Oryzias latipes: one gene and its partners. The main gene of each other region encodes a partner of the protein of the gene in region 4 in a complex. Links are inferred from orthologs where the notes say so. Each region holds a gene or a part of one and is shown on either strand. Other genes may lie near its edges.

Region 1 (3,994 bases), on a different chromosome or scaffold from region 4:
ACACTCACACAAACAGTTCAAAAGTCAAGATCGACTTAAATCTTGATCTTTACAGAAAGTCAGTCCAGTTTTTACTGTTGGAAAGTCTTCTCATGTCCAGCGGGATTCAGACTCACGGGCTCTGAGGGGGCGTCCACTGGCTCTGTGGAGAAACGTCTGGGTCCAGCTCAGAAGGCGTTCCGGGCTCCTCCTCAGGAGTCTGCGGTCATGATGGCGAGGAACTCCTCCTGGTTTACTGAGGAAACACCGGTCTGCTCAGACTCTCAAGGCCTGTTCACACCGGGACGAATTTCGTCGGCGAAACGCCTCGTGACTAAACAAAGGGCACCAACGAGAGTGTGCACACCGACGCGAAAAAACGCCATGCGTTAAAGCGTCAAAAAAAAAAAACGCCTCGGGTTCGTTTTTTTTTTTTCGACGCGTCGCATCGAAATCTATTCGACCAATGAGAATGGCGCTTTTGCTCACGTGTCTGGAGCTTCTGAAGTTACAGTAAAACACAACTTGGGGGCGCTCAAACACAAAACTGCCTTGCTGAGCACACATACCAGCGAAGAAGATAGACGCCAAGTAGCGTCTACACAGCCGCGAAGCAATAATGACGGACATTCTAAAATATCCCCGAACCAAGCACCAGTTGGAGCTACTGATGCTTGAAATATTAATGTTTTCTTTGTTTGATTCTGACAAGCGTGTAAATACTTGCTCTCTTCTTCTGAGTGAAAAGCGACTTTAAGAAGCGTAAAGTTGCGCAGCGCCACCTTGTGTACAGGAGTATTTCTGTTTACATTAAGCGCCATCTAATGTCAGGGAATGAAATTGCATGTTCGCTCGGCTCATCGTCAGCGAAAATCGCCTGGGTGTGAACACAAAAAACGTGGAGAAAAACGCTGGCGAATAACGCCTGGCGAATATTCGTCCCGGTGTGTACGGGCCTTCGGGTCGCTAAAACTCTGGAACAGGTCAGCTGAGGAAACCGTGAGGGGAGGAGCCGCGCTCTCCGCCCAATCACCGGCGACCTCGGAGCGGGAACGCCAGAACCTTCCTGCCATGGAGGTCAGAGAGCGATGGGATTTCTAAAGCAGGAGCCGCACCGGGAGAAGAGCGGTCCACCTACGATCAGGAGGTCGCAGGTTTATGCGTTGAAGTGACCTTGAGCGAGAGACTGAACCCCCACCTTGCCCCTCTGTTGTCATGGCAGCTCTGCCGCCTTCAGAGTGACCTTAAAACGCGTTAGACCTGCATAAGAGCTACATAAGTACAGGCTGTTGACCCTCATCTCCGCGGCAACGACAGAACACGTGTCATCCGGTGAAGGGGGCGTGGCTTTAACCTGAGCGAATGCAGACTTACTCTCTCCGTCTCTGTCGGTGTCGAACTCGTCGATCATGCTGCGCAGCTCTTCGTCGTTGATGTCCTCGCCGAGCTCTCGGGCGACCCTCCTCAGGTTCCTCAGGCTGATCCTCCCGGACTCGTCGTCGTCGAACAGCTTGAAGGCCTTCAGGACCTCCTCCTTCGGGTCCCGCTCCAGGATGCGGTCCGTCACTGCGGGCAGACGCGTTTCAGGGCGGCTCCTCGTCGCCTGGCTCTGAGGAAGAGGAGGCCAGTGACTCACCTACTTCACTGAAGTCCTCAAAGGTGATCTTCCTGTTCCCGTCTCTGTCGTAGTCCTTCAGGATCTTCAGGACGTCCATCTTCTTCACTTCAAAGCCCAGGGCGCGCATCGCCACCTGGTGGGACCGTGACAGATGACACCTTTGGTCTCGTTTCCACGGTTTCCATCCGATCCGCCGCCGCTCACCTTCAGCTCGTGATAATCGATCTGTCGGTCCTTGTCCGTGTCAAACAGGTCGAAGGCCTCCTTGACCTCGTGCTTCTGCTCCTCGGTGAGCTCCCTCCTCTTATTAGGCTTGTTTTTGTCGGCCTGGTCGGTTCTGCGGAGCAAAACCAGAGTCACAGATTCTCCCTGTGACCACAAACCAGAGCTTGAACCTCGCCGTTCAACCGTGAAGGATGGACGAAGACAAAAAAACAAGAGTTTGAACATCTTCATCAGTCAGGAACAGACATGAAGGCAGGAGAAGACTGACGGCAAACTCTGAGCCGAGAGAGAAACCTGCTTCAACCAACTCAGAGATCTCCGATCAGATTTGAGCCAATAAGAACCCAGACCCATTTAGTCTTATCGTAGTATTTGACCACAAACCACAGAATCCTATTTCTGATATTTTTCTGTCACATTGACGTCACAACAGGTTTATTTGGAGAACCTTTGACCAAATATGGTGGAAAAACAAACGTTATTTCAAAATAAAAGAACTCATTCCCCGAAACGAGCTTTTGGTCCCGGAAAGTCCAAATCAGGTGAAATATTATCTACCGAGGACAGAACCTGAGAGGTCACAGAATTTCGGTGCAACGTCTTCAGCCAAGCTCAGATTGATTCAGAGACAGCTCCACCGAACCGAACCCTTTGACAGACACACATTTGGACCGTTTGGACCGACGCAGCCCTTTGACCGAGTCTCCGGTCAACAAGCTCTGAATGTTTGAGGCAAACGGGCGACATGCTAACGTCGGCTAACAAGGCGAGAGAACCGGAAATGACGTCACCGTAAAAGCTGCGATCCTCACCTCAGAGACAGACTCATTGCGATCGAATTGCAGATCCAAACGCGAAGATTTCACTTCCAAGGAACGGCTACTGTCGCTCAACGAGCAAAAACAAACCCCGCGTGTCCGCGCTCAGATCCGAGGTCCTCATTGGTCGGTGGTCTCTAGGCAACAGCAAGGCGCTCGCTTAGTGGCGCTCTGTTTTTTTTTCTTCGGGAGCAAACTGAACCCAAGCGGGACACCAGCGCCCCCTGCTGTCGTCTGTCATTGCTACATCTGCTAATACTGACGCTGGAATCCTTTTCAAAGTCAAATAAAATGTAGAAAAACTTTAAATAGAAAATCAGTTTGTGATTCACAAAAGAATAATCCAGATAACTTTAAGACACATTCCGGCCATCTTTTGATCTATTTCCCTTCCTGTGGACAGTTTTACAGGACAGTTTCTGCAGATCCACAGGAGTTCATCAGAGGTTCTCCTCTGAGTTGTGGCCATTGGCACACAGTAAGCCTGTCTAATTTCCCATGATTCCTTTGTTTACACTCTTTCCTGCTATCTAACAGCCCCCCCCCCAACCCCCCCAACATTACTGGTGCAACAAAAATGGCAGCCTCATCAGATCCGTCCATTCGTCCAGTTCAGACTCCAGCTCAGACCAGGAAAACAGAGATGTTTATGGATCTATTTGTCTGACAGTGAATGCATCGGAATGGAGCGCAGCACGGAGCTTGTGGCACCGCCCAGCACATTTTTTTCTTTTTTAAACTGCATTTTTTTAGTCTGCTCCTGATTCACAACAAATGAAAATTTGCGCTTAATTTTCTTCATACATGGTCCTCCATCATCAAGAACATGTTAAAAACACCTAAATATTAGACTTTGTCCTCCAACAGTTCAGCACACCCTTTATTTGTTGTAACTTGTTACTCTGAACTGATGACAAGTTTTCCTCATAAACATTGGTCAACGGTCCTGTTATGTCTGATGTCTGTCTGTCAACATTAAAGGCATGTAACCCATAATGGTCCTGGCTTGTTGAACAGTCGTCCTTCTCTCTGGAATCCTGCCGGAGGTTTCTACCCTCTGGAAATGCTTGGAGCATTTCCCGAGGGTCTTTGTGCCCCCACCCCTGATTTGGGCTTTGTCTCAGTTTTATCAGGGATTTCCCATGGTGCTCCGGGATGAAGGTGCCGCCCGGTCTCGGCTCACGTCGGGGCGTTTCCTGTGTCACATGTGTCATCCTAGATAACGCCTGAGTGAAAAACCATGTCGCCTCAGGAGAGATTCAAGCTCAGCAGAGTCTAAGTCAGAAAAAAATACAAAAAAACAGGTGGTAACAACAACAACAGGCAGTAGTTTGTGACGGAATGAAAATAACAG
Region 2 (4,118 bases), on a different chromosome or scaffold from region 4:
ATCGAGGACGCAGCATCGAGCTGACAGCAGCTGCCTGCGTTAGCACGACGCCGCTGAACTCACACCAAAGGCAGCGCAATAACTAAAAGAGGATTACGTCGAAAACAGTACTCACCTAATTTCATGGGGTTTTCCTCTAGAATAGTGGTTTCGGATACAAACTGCTGCCGTCCCCTTTGAATAAAAATCCTCTTTTTGTCAGATGTCTCTCTTCTCACACCCTGTAGGAAGGGGCCATCTTTGACAGCCGGGTCACGTGACACATTCTAACCATTGGCGAAACGCGATGAGATTTACATTTATATTTTATTTTGTTTTTAAACTCTTACCCTATTACAGTATTGGCTTTCCTTAAAATAATCAAATTTTCTATTTTTTTATTAAATCATTTTTTATTAGAAATGTTATTTTATTATTTAAATAAAAGTCTACTACAAAGAAAAACTACAATTTCTGAACATATTGGCTCAAGAAAATAAACAAACAAAAAATATACTTATAAGACAAAATAATCTTTTTACCGCTAATATTTTAAACACAATTAATAATTAGCAAAATTAAAAAAGACAATAAAATAAATATGAAGTCTTGTAAGTTTAAATAAGTTTTTAGATTATAAAGAGAATCTATTTTTTTTCTGAGTGAAGATTTATTGAGATTGGCATAAATTACAAATTATCTTTACCTGTGTAAGCACACCCCAACCAACTTGAAACCATGAAAAACCCCTATGTTGTTACCATGAATTCAAAACAAAATTTAAAAAAATATTAATCTTTTCACAAATAATAATAAAAAGTATACTTATTATAGTGTTTTCAGATAAAATATATATTCATCAACATTTTACCTGTTTATCCTACTAGACACTTGTGGCAATGTTTTTCTTCACATGATGCCAGCTACAAAGTCAAAGGTCTTCACAAAATTATATATGATCATTCTCCTGATCTTATTAACAAAGGATTATATTCATAAAGCTAGGTTTACTGATACAATTCCAAAAAATTGAGATATTTGCCCAAATCAAACATTATTTGGACTTTTGTCCATACAAATATAAAAGCAGGCAAACCCTATAATGTTTGTAAGCTTAAAAGATCAACATGATTTATTTATTTATTTATTTATTTATTTGTTTGTTTATTTATTTATTTATTTATTTATTTATTTATTTATTTATTTATTTATGTATTTATACCTCCCTGGTTGTCTTGAAAAAAAAATTGGACAGTTTATTGTTCAGTGTTCCTTGCTGTGTCATTTCTGTTTTTTGAATAAAGTTTTTTTTAATAAAAAATGCTTCCAAAAAGAAAAACGGAAATGACGGAATCGTGTGTGAACCAATCGCATGGCAGAAGTGAAGATGGCGGACTCTCAGATCAGCGTCAGGTAAAGAATCAACAGTAAACTTTCCTTAACATTTGTTTTGAGTGAATAATTCATTAAAACACCAAAAACTTGGTTAACATTTTAAAATAGTAACCTAAATATCTCCCGCTAGATTAGCAGTAACCGTTTGATGATTTGAGCTATCAGCAGCTAGCTAACTTAGCTTAGCTTGCGCTAACCGCTAGTTTGAATGGCTCTCTGAAACGAGGTGCCGCTTGTCAACAAATCTACTACTACTAGCTTCGCTCACATAGGTAATGTTGCGTTTATGTGTGATAAGTAGTTAGTTACTATAATAAAATGAGTAATTTAGGCATAACATATAGAAAACACCACCGTAAAGGCACAATTTTAACTGCGAATTCAAGTTGGTATCCCGTGTATGTCACATTTCTCAGTCTTATTGTACCTAAACTCCAACTAAGACTTTATCTCAGAACAGATTATTAATACAATTGTTTAGTAATAAGATTACAACTTCATAAGAATCCGTGAATAGAATAAATAACGGGGGAATGTTTAAGCTGTGGTGTAATTGTCAGAAGTATACACCTCCGTAAAGAGTTACTGTATAATTCCATGGCCACGTGTGTATAAAACCAGGGATTTCAAGGCACGCGGGCTACTGTAACAAACGTTTGTAAATGACCAGGCTACTATGAGCGCTGAATTGTGCAACACATGTGAGGTCTCCATATGAAATGTTTGATTGTCAGTAGTGGTAGTAGTAGTGGTACAACTAAGCCACAAAGCAGTTCTCTGTGTGAACGGCAGCTCCTGTGTGCACAGGTCAGCAATTTTCCGCAGTCAGTGATGGACCAGTCTGGGTTTGGTGGTTTCCACAAAAACAGTCACTTGTCTGACTGCGTTGTCAAATGTGAAGTTTGGTGGAGTGATGGTTGTGGTATGGTTGACCCAGTAAAAAGAACTCTTAATGCTTCAGTAGATATTTCCGACATCATAGAAACATAGAAAGTTGCTTTGCTCAAAGCAAGGACTAAAGAAGCCCACTCACTGTATTTGAACACAATAGCATAGAGTGAAGAGTGTGAGCACGGCCTTTCTCATCCAACATAGTGTCTGACCTCACTAATGGGCTTCCACAAATACACTACTAACCCTGAAAGGCTTTCTTGGAAATCCGGAGGGTCGGCTGTCATAAAAATGACGCAGACTTGCCCTCTTTTTTTCTTTTTTTTTTTAAACAAACAGATGGTCAACAAATAAAACTCAAGGACCTATAACATATAGGTAGCGATGCCTGCCTATTACAGCCCGTTAGCTGAGTTTCTCCCTGTAATTTTGGCATGCTGGAATATAGGATTGGACCTTTAAAAAGATGCATAACATTATAGTCTCCCAAAGTACGGTAATCTAAGGTTTTCCCATGGGTGGAACCTGTAGGAAAGAACAGGTTAGTTAGAGTAGACCATGTATGTGTGTGTGTGCGCTTGCGTGTGTATCTATATGTATATGTGTGTGTCATGATGATTTGGGGCATTTTTATAATGATCTGTACATATAAAACTTGTGAAAATAAAACCTTGATTTTCATAGGAGCTGTCGAGAACTGTGGACCATTCTGCTTGGCAGATCCGCTTTGAGAGAACCGGTATGTTTAGCTTTTACCTTTATTCTCTATGCTAACAATGCACAGTATAATGTACCGGTACTTATAAAACACACAATTCATGTACAGGTTTTGTATGACACATAATATGTGTTGGAGGCAAATCAAGTTTTTTAACATTTACATTTCTTCGTGTGTCTTTTGCAGGCGCAAATAGAAGCAGAACTTGAAAGACACTGGGATAGACTCCATCAAGGACTCAGTTACTACAAGCAACCCAGGTGAGGTTACAAGCAAGAATGTTCCTGAACTTTCTTTAATGACTGCACTTTTAAAGATGTACCTACTCGGAGCTTAATGCATCGTTGTTGGACTCGTTTGTTGAAGCTCAAGCTCTGCAGGGAAGGTTAAGGAAAACAAAAATGTCCCACAGCCGCTGAAAGACTTTGGTTTAAGGATCAGTAAACTGTTGGTAAGATTTTGACATTTCTGTTAATGTATTTAGTTTTTTTTTAGATGTGTCTGTGTCTTGATGTCATTCGGTACAATGGAAATTTTGCAGAACCTTGACGAGGAGCAGAGCGTACAGCTTTTACAATGTTATCTTCAGGAGGACTACAGAGGGACCAGAGACTCCCTAAAGGTTTTTGTTCTCGCAGTCAAAAAATTGAAGAGGAAAAAAATAATTGGCGGGAGGAAAAATTAAACAAAAGTTTTTTTCCGTAGGTTGTCCTAAAAGACGATCGACAGAGTCAGGCGTTACTGCTAAAGGTGAGCGAAAGGTCCTTGATGGATGTAATTCTAATAATAGTTTTACTTCCTGCTTTTATTTAAAGGATTTATTGGTATATGTATGATGTCCATAGATTGCTGATTACTACTATGAAGAGCGGATGTGTTTGCTCCGCTGTGTTCTTCTGCTGCTCACATACTTTCAGGACGAGCGACATCCCTATCGGGTGAGAATGACAAACTTTTACAGAAACCTGAATGAGTGCTTTCTTTTCTTTGTATTTAAAAGTTTGGTTGTGGAACTTCTTTTATTGTGTGGATTTCAAGTCCAGATGCCATGATTCGACTTTAAGATGTCACCTGGATGAGTGAGAGCCTTCATGGACGACGTCTGTTATTGAATCAGCTCTTGTGTTTGTTTCTG
Region 3 (4,034 bases), about 24 Mb from region 4:
TTTTTCAAATGAGTAGATTACTGAAGTTCATTTTCTTAAGGCAAATTGAACTTTTTTGCCTGACACCGAAAAAAATGGATGTATCTGTTCTTCAGTACAAGCCTGGGCGGGAAATGAAAAACACATTTCTTTTCTTAATATCTTGTTTTTAATGCATTTGGAGACACTATATTAATACCTAATCTATCACATGAAGTGTGTTGATAAAAGAAGAAGAAGAGAACGTTGAGAAAAATCAAGTTTATGCTGCCAAATTCTCAGTGTTTGTTCTTATTAAAGCATAGGGAGAATTATTTGCCTATTAAACTTTATTGTCATTGTTTATGTAAAGATTCTCATGGAGACTCAATGTGTCGTTTTAATGTAACAACTGTTATGATGACCAAACTACAAGAAGCAATGAAATAAACTACGGTTAAAAACAAACAGATTTATAGACTAACTATCCATATTGTTTCAGACATGTTTGAACTCCAATAGCGTCAAATCCTACATACAAAATTTTCATATTAAAAAATGAAAATGTTTCTGCTTGTCCTTCGTAAACTTTTGATTTTGTAACCAGAAATTGTGAGTTTTTTTTAAATATTGTAATGTTTTCTGATTTTTCTTTTTAATTTATTTATTTATTTTTAGGTAAATAAAATATATCTAACACACAAGTCCAAAAATATATTCCTAAAGAAATCTTTACTTGTGTGTGAGCTTATGAGGATTTATTACGAGACCATGTAGTGCAGTGTTGAGTTGAGGGTGAACATCCAGTTATACATCTCAGAGCACCGTGGAAAATCAAAAACATTGCCAGAAAATGTCATAAATGTTAGGGTTTAAAAAATAAATTAATGTCAACTTAAAAATTCTAAATATTTTTATAAAACCCATAAATCAATTTGCTCATTGAGTACATTTTGTATCTTTCAGGGGGAAAAAAAAGTTTTTTTTGAGTGTTTTTTTTTATACAACAATTTCTTATTCAATCAATACAAATTTCTTTTTTTGGGTATAATTTTAATAACATTTTTTTTTTTGAAAAACTGTTATTTTAACCTAAAATCACAATTAAAAAACGTCAAATATTGTCTGATTGCAAATTCAATCATGATAGTGTAAACCCAAACTGTAAAGATTTTAAACATAAAAAAAACTAAAAATAGCAACAAATATTTATTAAGGCAAAATACTTTTTTTTTTTTTGCACCGGTCTATGTCATTGTTCAATAAAGTTTGGGGAAAAAAACAATATACTTCCGGCTCACGCCGGTCAAGGACCAATCACGGTTGACTTCTACAGTACCGGGGCAAGTAATGCAACTTTTATTTACTACACTCTTCTGCTTAACATAAAAGCGTGATTATTGGAAAAAAAATCTGAATACAGACAGTGAGCACGCTGCTCGTTTCCTCCGTAAATATCAGGTATGATGGTTTTCCGTCCAAATCAGACTGAACAGAACCAAACTTAGCTAGAATACGAGCATGTGTTTTTCAGTGTTAGCATTAGCATGAATGCTAACTCGTCATTCATTTTGATCATTATCAGTGAACTAGCAAATCAAAAAAGAAAGGTACAGCCAAGATCACAGTCTAAAAATTTATTTTGCGTAGTTCATGGCATGCTTTTTAGAATGATAACATTATTATAACAACTTGTTGTAGCTTAGCCCGTTTAGCTGACGGATAGCTAATTCAGTCAGCGCATTCGCGCGCGTCGATCATGTCTGTCAAGTAATATTACAGCTGTATCACCTGCTAAACCTTCACACATTTCATTGACAACCTAAACCCGTATTTATTCTAAAATGCTTGTTTCTAGAACTTAATAGCGTTTGAAATTTATTTCAGTGAGTGTTCGGGTTGATTGAAGGCCAATTATGAATGAATGATGAATGGATTTTTTTCTTCTAATGTCCGAAACAGCAAATTAGTTTAAATAATCTATGAATTATTATTATTAATTAATATATCACATTAATATTTACCCAAACTGCAGTAAAAATATTGCAACCTTCAAAGTAAAAAAAACAATCTAAACATCTAGTTATTAGTGTATGTATATACTGTGGGTATGTAAAAATACAAAAGTGTTTGTTTTGGTGATCCCAGAAATTAAAATTAGCATTTTGTTTAACCTAAATAGAAAGTAGCACCTTATTTAAGGGAGACAATATCAGAAAATTTTAAGATTACTTTGGCTAATACAGATGATCAGTCTTTTATTTTTATAAATTGAAAAAAAAAAAAAAAACGTTTTTTACACCCTTCTTAGAATTAATAATTAAAGTTAAATAAATGCTTTAGGCCTCCATGCATCAGTGGTGGGTTATGAGCAATTCAAATATTAAATTTAACTTTATTTTTATAGTATTTTTCCTGCTATAGAGCATTTCAAAGTGCATCCCACAATAAAATAGATACTAGGAAGATTTAAAAAAAATTAGTAAAAATAATACTAATAATAATTATAAGATAAATCATATTTTAAAAAAAACCACATACACATCCCACAAGTACAATAAAAAAAAAATCCAATTAATATAAACAGCAATTTCTGTCTCTGTCATTACCGTCCCTATGACTCTAACATGGTGAAATCTGTTGTAAGCATTCTGATGCTTTTATCCTGGCTGTGTAATACAAGTAGAATTATAGTTAAGACCTGCTAGAGGAAAACTTTATTACTGGTTGTTGCTGACGGTTATCTTTTTATCCAGTTATAAACAGCACAAGTAACTGAGCAGATGCAGCCCATTGTAGCTGAGTATCGGTACTGTTTTTTACATTACAAATATACTCAACTAAAACACATGGGGCAGTGAAACTGCTTTCTAAGGCACAATATTTTTACAAAAGGTAACGTAAACTTAAAATGTAACGAATAAGTTTATTTATTGTAGGATGATTTTATCATGTTGTGATTTTCCTAACTTGGTTGGACTCAATCTTGTGTTTTGTTTTGTTTTTCCAATATATCCATAATTGATGCTTACCTTAAACAAGAAGGAGGTTGTACATCAGAGCTAGAAAAAACAAACATGTGTAGAGCTGCATTGTTAACATGTAAACATAACGTGGTTAAATGTAGGTCACATAAATAACTGAAAGTGCTTTTCCCTGTCGCCGTAGGGCAATGGATGGAGAAGGTTTTGGGGAGCTTCTGCAGCAGGCAGAACAGCTGGCTGCAGAAACAGAAGCTGTGTCAGAGCTGCCTCATGTTGAAAGGAACCTTCAGGAGATCCAGCAAGCCGGAGAGAGGCTTCGATCCCGCACGCTTACCCGCACGCCTCACGACGCAGCAGACGTAAAAGCGTGAGGACTTTGTCTTCCTTTTTGGTTTTAGTTATGATTTGTAGACTCACCAGACGCAATAGTAATGTCAACCTTTTGGCAGCAGAGGGACCTATTTCTCATTTCCAAAAGTATTATTGAATTTAGAGCATCCACTGCTATTAACTATTATGTGCTACAACATGCCAAAATAATCAGTAAATGATTTTAAACTCTAGCAATTCAAGGTGACATATCTTCAAAGTATTTTCATACTTTCCACTTCTTTTTTAGTTTTTAAATGTATTTTATAGAATGTTTTAAATAACAAGCACCTCTTGTGCCCTCTAGTGGGTGACATGTTGTTGTTAAAGTCTCCTTTTCTCACAACTTGTTGTTCCTTTTTTTGTTTTAGATCAATCCTTCTTGGTTCAAGAGGATTAGACATCTTCCACATTTCCCAGAGACTGGAGACCCTAAGCGCTGCCACAACCTTTGAGCCTCTGGAGCCAGTCAAAGACACCGATATACAGGTAAAATCCTTGCATGGCATCATGGAAACAATGTTTAAGGATCGAATGCATAAGGTTTATATAAACAATATAGCTAGAAAGCTGTTGATCCTAAATTTTTAGATAGATTAAATGGGAAAGCATTGGTTATTCAATGTAAATATATTTTGTAGTGAATCAAAAACCTTTCAAGGTTTTTCTACAATATTAAGACATCTTTGAGGCCTACTATACCAATTTTTTTCTCATGCGATT
Region 4 (3,500 bases):
TTGTGTACCAGTATTTGCTACTGACACCAACAGAGGAGAGAAATGCCGTTCAGTCTTAAACCAGGCTCGGCAGAGTTGCTCCAAAGCGACACAGAGGATGAAGAATTCAACAGATTTAGGGATTTGAAGTGATATACGGAGTGTGGTCGACTACTTGGCATGCTCTTTATGCTATGTTTGTCTTACAGGGCTTGTGCAAAATTTTGCTTTTTAACAGTCATTGGGATTTTTAATCTCTTAAAGAGCATCATCCACAATATTTTTTTTTAGCTTTAAAGTGTATTGTAATGTTCATTCCTCACCAAAAACAACCCTAAAGTGGTATTCAAGCATTTCTGAGTATTCCTCTAAAAACATGACTGTGCACACCAGCCCCTCCCAACCCACCAAAACAAGTGGCTTCTAACATTGTGAGGTAGATAATGGGGAAAAGCCTCTTTCAGGAAGAGTCTGTGCTGTCAGCACCACCCCCAGGCTAACACACACCCACGTTCTCCATTGAGCTAGCAGTATTCAGCTAAACGCTTTCCTTTCATACGCACAATATTGCACATTCATCTATGCAAAATTTTGGATGTTTGTGTTCTTTCGTGTGGCATTCTGACGCAGTGAAAAGCGGCTTTTCACATCGGCTTTGCATTGATATTCTACACATCACTGAAGTAAAGTGTTGCATTATGGTGCAAAGCTGCTTTTCAGCAGAGACGGCAAAGGTGATGTCAGCGTGCACTCACCTGCAGAGCTTTGATGATGGCCGCGGCACTGAAGTGCAGCGGAGAGAACAGGACATCCAGATAGGTCTCCTAAAAAGAACACACCACATCTATATAAACATAAACATTAACCATGTCACTCACACCAGGCTGTGTTCCATCACAATCACCGGTCATACCCTGGGGTCCAGATCCATTCCCACAGGAACTTCTTCCTCAGGCAGAGGCTGAACAAACACTTGGTTCCACTGACCTGATGCACTCCTGTAACACACAGACTAATCAGAACCAATTGCCCAACACGGGAACTTAAAAGTCCAGTTCCAGGATCATATACTTCCAATGAGCCAATGATCCAGAATGACTCAAACGTACTGCTCAAAGCTGATGTATTTGACCACTGTGGCATTGGAGTCATCCACCCACAAAGCCCAGACATCTGAGGAGGTCAGAGAAAAGTCCACCAGGGTCTCCTGTCAGACACAAATCGAGTTCTGTCAGAATCACAGCTACTACACAGGACCACATAACCGGCCCCGGCTGTTGGTTGGCCAGCTGTGGACACAAACGCAGCTCAGACCCCGCTGACTGTAATGGAGAGCTGGACTGAGTGAGTGTGATGTCATCCATAGAAAATGGTTTACTTCCTGCTCTAACCAAATGAAGTCAATTCAGAGCCCATTTTTGGCGATAAGGACGCAGCCATGTTGGAGTCGGACAATGTCAGTAAGCAGTAATTGGTCCAAGTCTGTCTGAGAAAACACTTCTCTGGCAACCAGCCTCACCAATCAGGAGTAAGCTTGTTGGAAAGCCACACCCCTATCACTTTAAGGCTGGCTTGGGAGAATCTGTTAAAAGCTTTGAACATTGGATATGGGGCCACCGGGCACCACAAACCTTTATTGAAGCATCTGATTGGTCAGTTTATAACTTTGAATAACTTGCACTACAGAAAAATATCATGAAAAAAAGAAAATGATCAAGAACATGTTAAAAAAGGTAACAGATCAAAAATGGTCATTCTGTGAGTAACAGCTGTTTATTTCTCTATTGAAGACAATGGGATTTTTGCATAATGGAGCCAGTAGGTACTTCCTGCCTGGAACACCAAGGGGGAGGGGTCACTCAGTCCAGCTCTTGTTTACAGTTAATGAGTAGGCCGCTCAAAAGAGGGTTCTACTGCATCTGTCCCTGCTCAATATCTAAAACTTTCCCACTGCCACAACATCTCCATGGAAACCAATCAACCAATCTTCCTGATTGCAGTCAGTACTTAAGTGTAACTGTCCGCATTTCTGTTTGGACTGCGCATCTTAAACCCCATTAGAAACAGAAACCTACAAATTCACGCTTTAGTACGTTTTCTGGTCCAGTAGCCGCCCGTGGATCTTCACGACTGCAGACTGGTCCTGCTGTGGTGGACCCAAATGCTAACAACCCTACCACCATGCAACTTACCAGCGTGCTGAACAGGGAGGAGATGTGCTCCAGGCTGTAGCGATTGTTGTCAGTGCCCACCAGCTGAAAGACGGTGAACTGTCCTTTCTGAGGGACAGCCAGGTAAACACACAGACAGAGGCCGGTGGAAGGGGAGAAGGCCAGCCGTAGGCGGTGACCCTGACCAGACAGTCGTTTTACACCTCTGCAGGCCGGCATATATTCCAGAATGTCTATTTCCAGAAGGCACGTCTGCTCCTGTGGACGCAAAAAAAACCAGTATAACAGGCAGAAGCCACGGGACGGAGTCCATCATGAAGGGGACACACTGACCCTGAGAGACCACATGCGAAGTCTGTGGTCCTGGCACAAAGCAAAGATGAAGGAGTCTTCCTCCAGCTCTCTGACAGCCATGCTGAGAACAAGATCTCCTGGACTCTGCTCCCCTCGGATGGCTGTGGGCATCCATCCTGAGATCCTCCTCATCATGGAGCTCCTCTTCAGCTCCACCACAGACAGGTCGCCTACACAAGGGATAGAGGCTTCACTGCACCACCTGAACATCACCCAAGCATCACCAGATGGAAAGCTGGTCCTCACCCTGTGTGTCGTGGCGTGGCAGCGTCACCACAGCGATGCCCCCAGATGGTGATGCCAGAGCGAAGTGGGCCTCTCCCTGGAGGCTGAGCCAGGCCGCACTGGTGCTCAGACTCCCCGAAAGTCCTGGCACGTTGGGGATGACGGCGCTGTTAGGCCAATCCTGAAGATTCAGCTTCCCCACATCAGTGAAGATGGACTGCATGTGCAGCTCAGAGACAAGTTCCTGCAGAACAGCAGGAGGTTCCTCACACAGACATCAGGAAAACCAGCTTCAGTAGCATGATCACTGCAAGGTGAAGATTGGTACTAAACGCACAACCACAGCACGTATGCAGCTAACACTAAGAGCTATGGAAGAAAAAAAGAGCTTTATTCCACAGAAATCTGGGATGGTTAAAGGGTCAGAATCTAGAACCCAAATGGGTTTGGACTCCTAACACCGAGCTGCAGCCAAACACTGGAGTGTGTTGACGGAGCGGGATCTCCTGCAGGGATAATAAGCCTGTTGTTCTTGTTCTACTCACGCTGCGGTACATGCGAGCAGGATGAGGCAGCAGCACTCTGTGGACACTCTGATTGGTGCAGATGAGGATGATGACATTGTAGAGGGTCTCCTGTATGCTGACCCCCCCAGGCAGGACAGAGCAGTGGGGGAACTTGAACTTGACGGCATTGTTCAGGAGGTTGATGTCCAGAGACTCCTCCACCAGCTGCACCGTGTCTCCCGACGTGATCCTGCAACGAGTGTGA

What was found. The genes of interacting proteins can lie anywhere in the genome.
Region 1: nup160 (region 4) and cetn3 share a complex: the UniProt entries of both Homo sapiens proteins name them as parts of the nuclear pore complex. The link is inferred for Oryzias latipes from reciprocal best matches to the Homo sapiens genes NUP160 and CETN3.
Region 2: nup160 (region 4) and nup188 share a complex: the UniProt entries of both Homo sapiens proteins name them as parts of the nuclear pore complex. The link is inferred for Oryzias latipes from reciprocal best matches to the Homo sapiens genes NUP160 and NUP188.
Region 3: nup160 (region 4) and nup93 share a complex: the UniProt entries of both Homo sapiens proteins name them as parts of the nuclear pore complex. The link is inferred for Oryzias latipes from reciprocal best matches to the Homo sapiens genes NUP160 and NUP93.

Annotation. Positions count from the first base shown.
Region 1 is NC_019870.2:1,966,126-1,970,119, reverse strand, and holds the start of cetn3 (centrin-3), read right to left. Parts: upstream 2,801-3,994; 5' UTR 2,652-2,800; coding exon 2,635-2,651; intron 1,935-2,634; coding exon 1,802-1,934; intron 1,731-1,801; coding exon 1,616-1,730; intron 1,546-1,615; coding exon 1,354-1,545; intron 236-1,353; coding exon 192-235; 3' UTR 1-191. UniProt on the Homo sapiens protein: Plays a fundamental role in microtubule-organizing center structure and function. As a component of the TREX-2 complex, involved in the export of mRNAs to the cytoplasm through the nuclear pores.
Region 2 is NC_019870.2:8,134,775-8,138,892, forward strand, and holds the start of nup188 (nucleoporin NUP188 homolog), read left to right. Parts: upstream 1-1,318; 5' UTR 1,319-1,351; coding exon 1,352-1,392; intron 1,393-2,949; coding exon 2,950-3,004; intron 3,005-3,169; coding exon 3,170-3,243; intron 3,244-3,349; coding exon 3,350-3,434; intron 3,435-3,524; coding exon 3,525-3,605; intron 3,606-3,688; coding exon 3,689-3,733; intron 3,734-3,828; coding exon 3,829-3,921; intron 3,922-4,118. Other genes in the region: dolk (dolichol kinase), read right to left, coding at 116-125. UniProt on the Homo sapiens protein: Component of the nuclear pore complex (NPC), a complex required for the trafficking across the nuclear envelope. Required for proper protein transport into the nucleus.
Region 3 is NC_019864.2:28,020,781-28,024,814, forward strand, and holds the start of nup93 (nuclear pore complex protein Nup93), read left to right. Parts: upstream 1-1,234; 5' UTR 1,235-1,301; exon of another isoform or gene 1,302-1,419; intron 1,420-3,126; 5' UTR 3,127-3,130; coding exon 3,131-3,309; intron 3,310-3,682; coding exon 3,683-3,800; intron 3,801-4,034. UniProt on the Homo sapiens protein: Plays a role in the nuclear pore complex (NPC) assembly and/or maintenance. May anchor nucleoporins, but not NUP153 and TPR, to the NPC. During renal development, regulates podocyte migration and proliferation through SMAD4 signaling.
Region 4 is NC_019864.2:4,334,703-4,338,202, reverse strand, and holds part of nup160 (nuclear pore complex protein Nup160), read right to left. Parts: intron 3,486-3,500; coding exon 3,275-3,485; intron 2,974-3,274; coding exon 2,751-2,973; intron 2,675-2,750; coding exon 2,484-2,674; intron 2,409-2,483; coding exon 2,172-2,408; intron 1,187-2,171; coding exon 1,089-1,186; intron 978-1,088; coding exon 893-977; intron 804-892; coding exon 735-803; intron 1-734. UniProt on the Homo sapiens protein: Functions as a component of the nuclear pore complex (NPC). Involved in poly(A)+ RNA transport.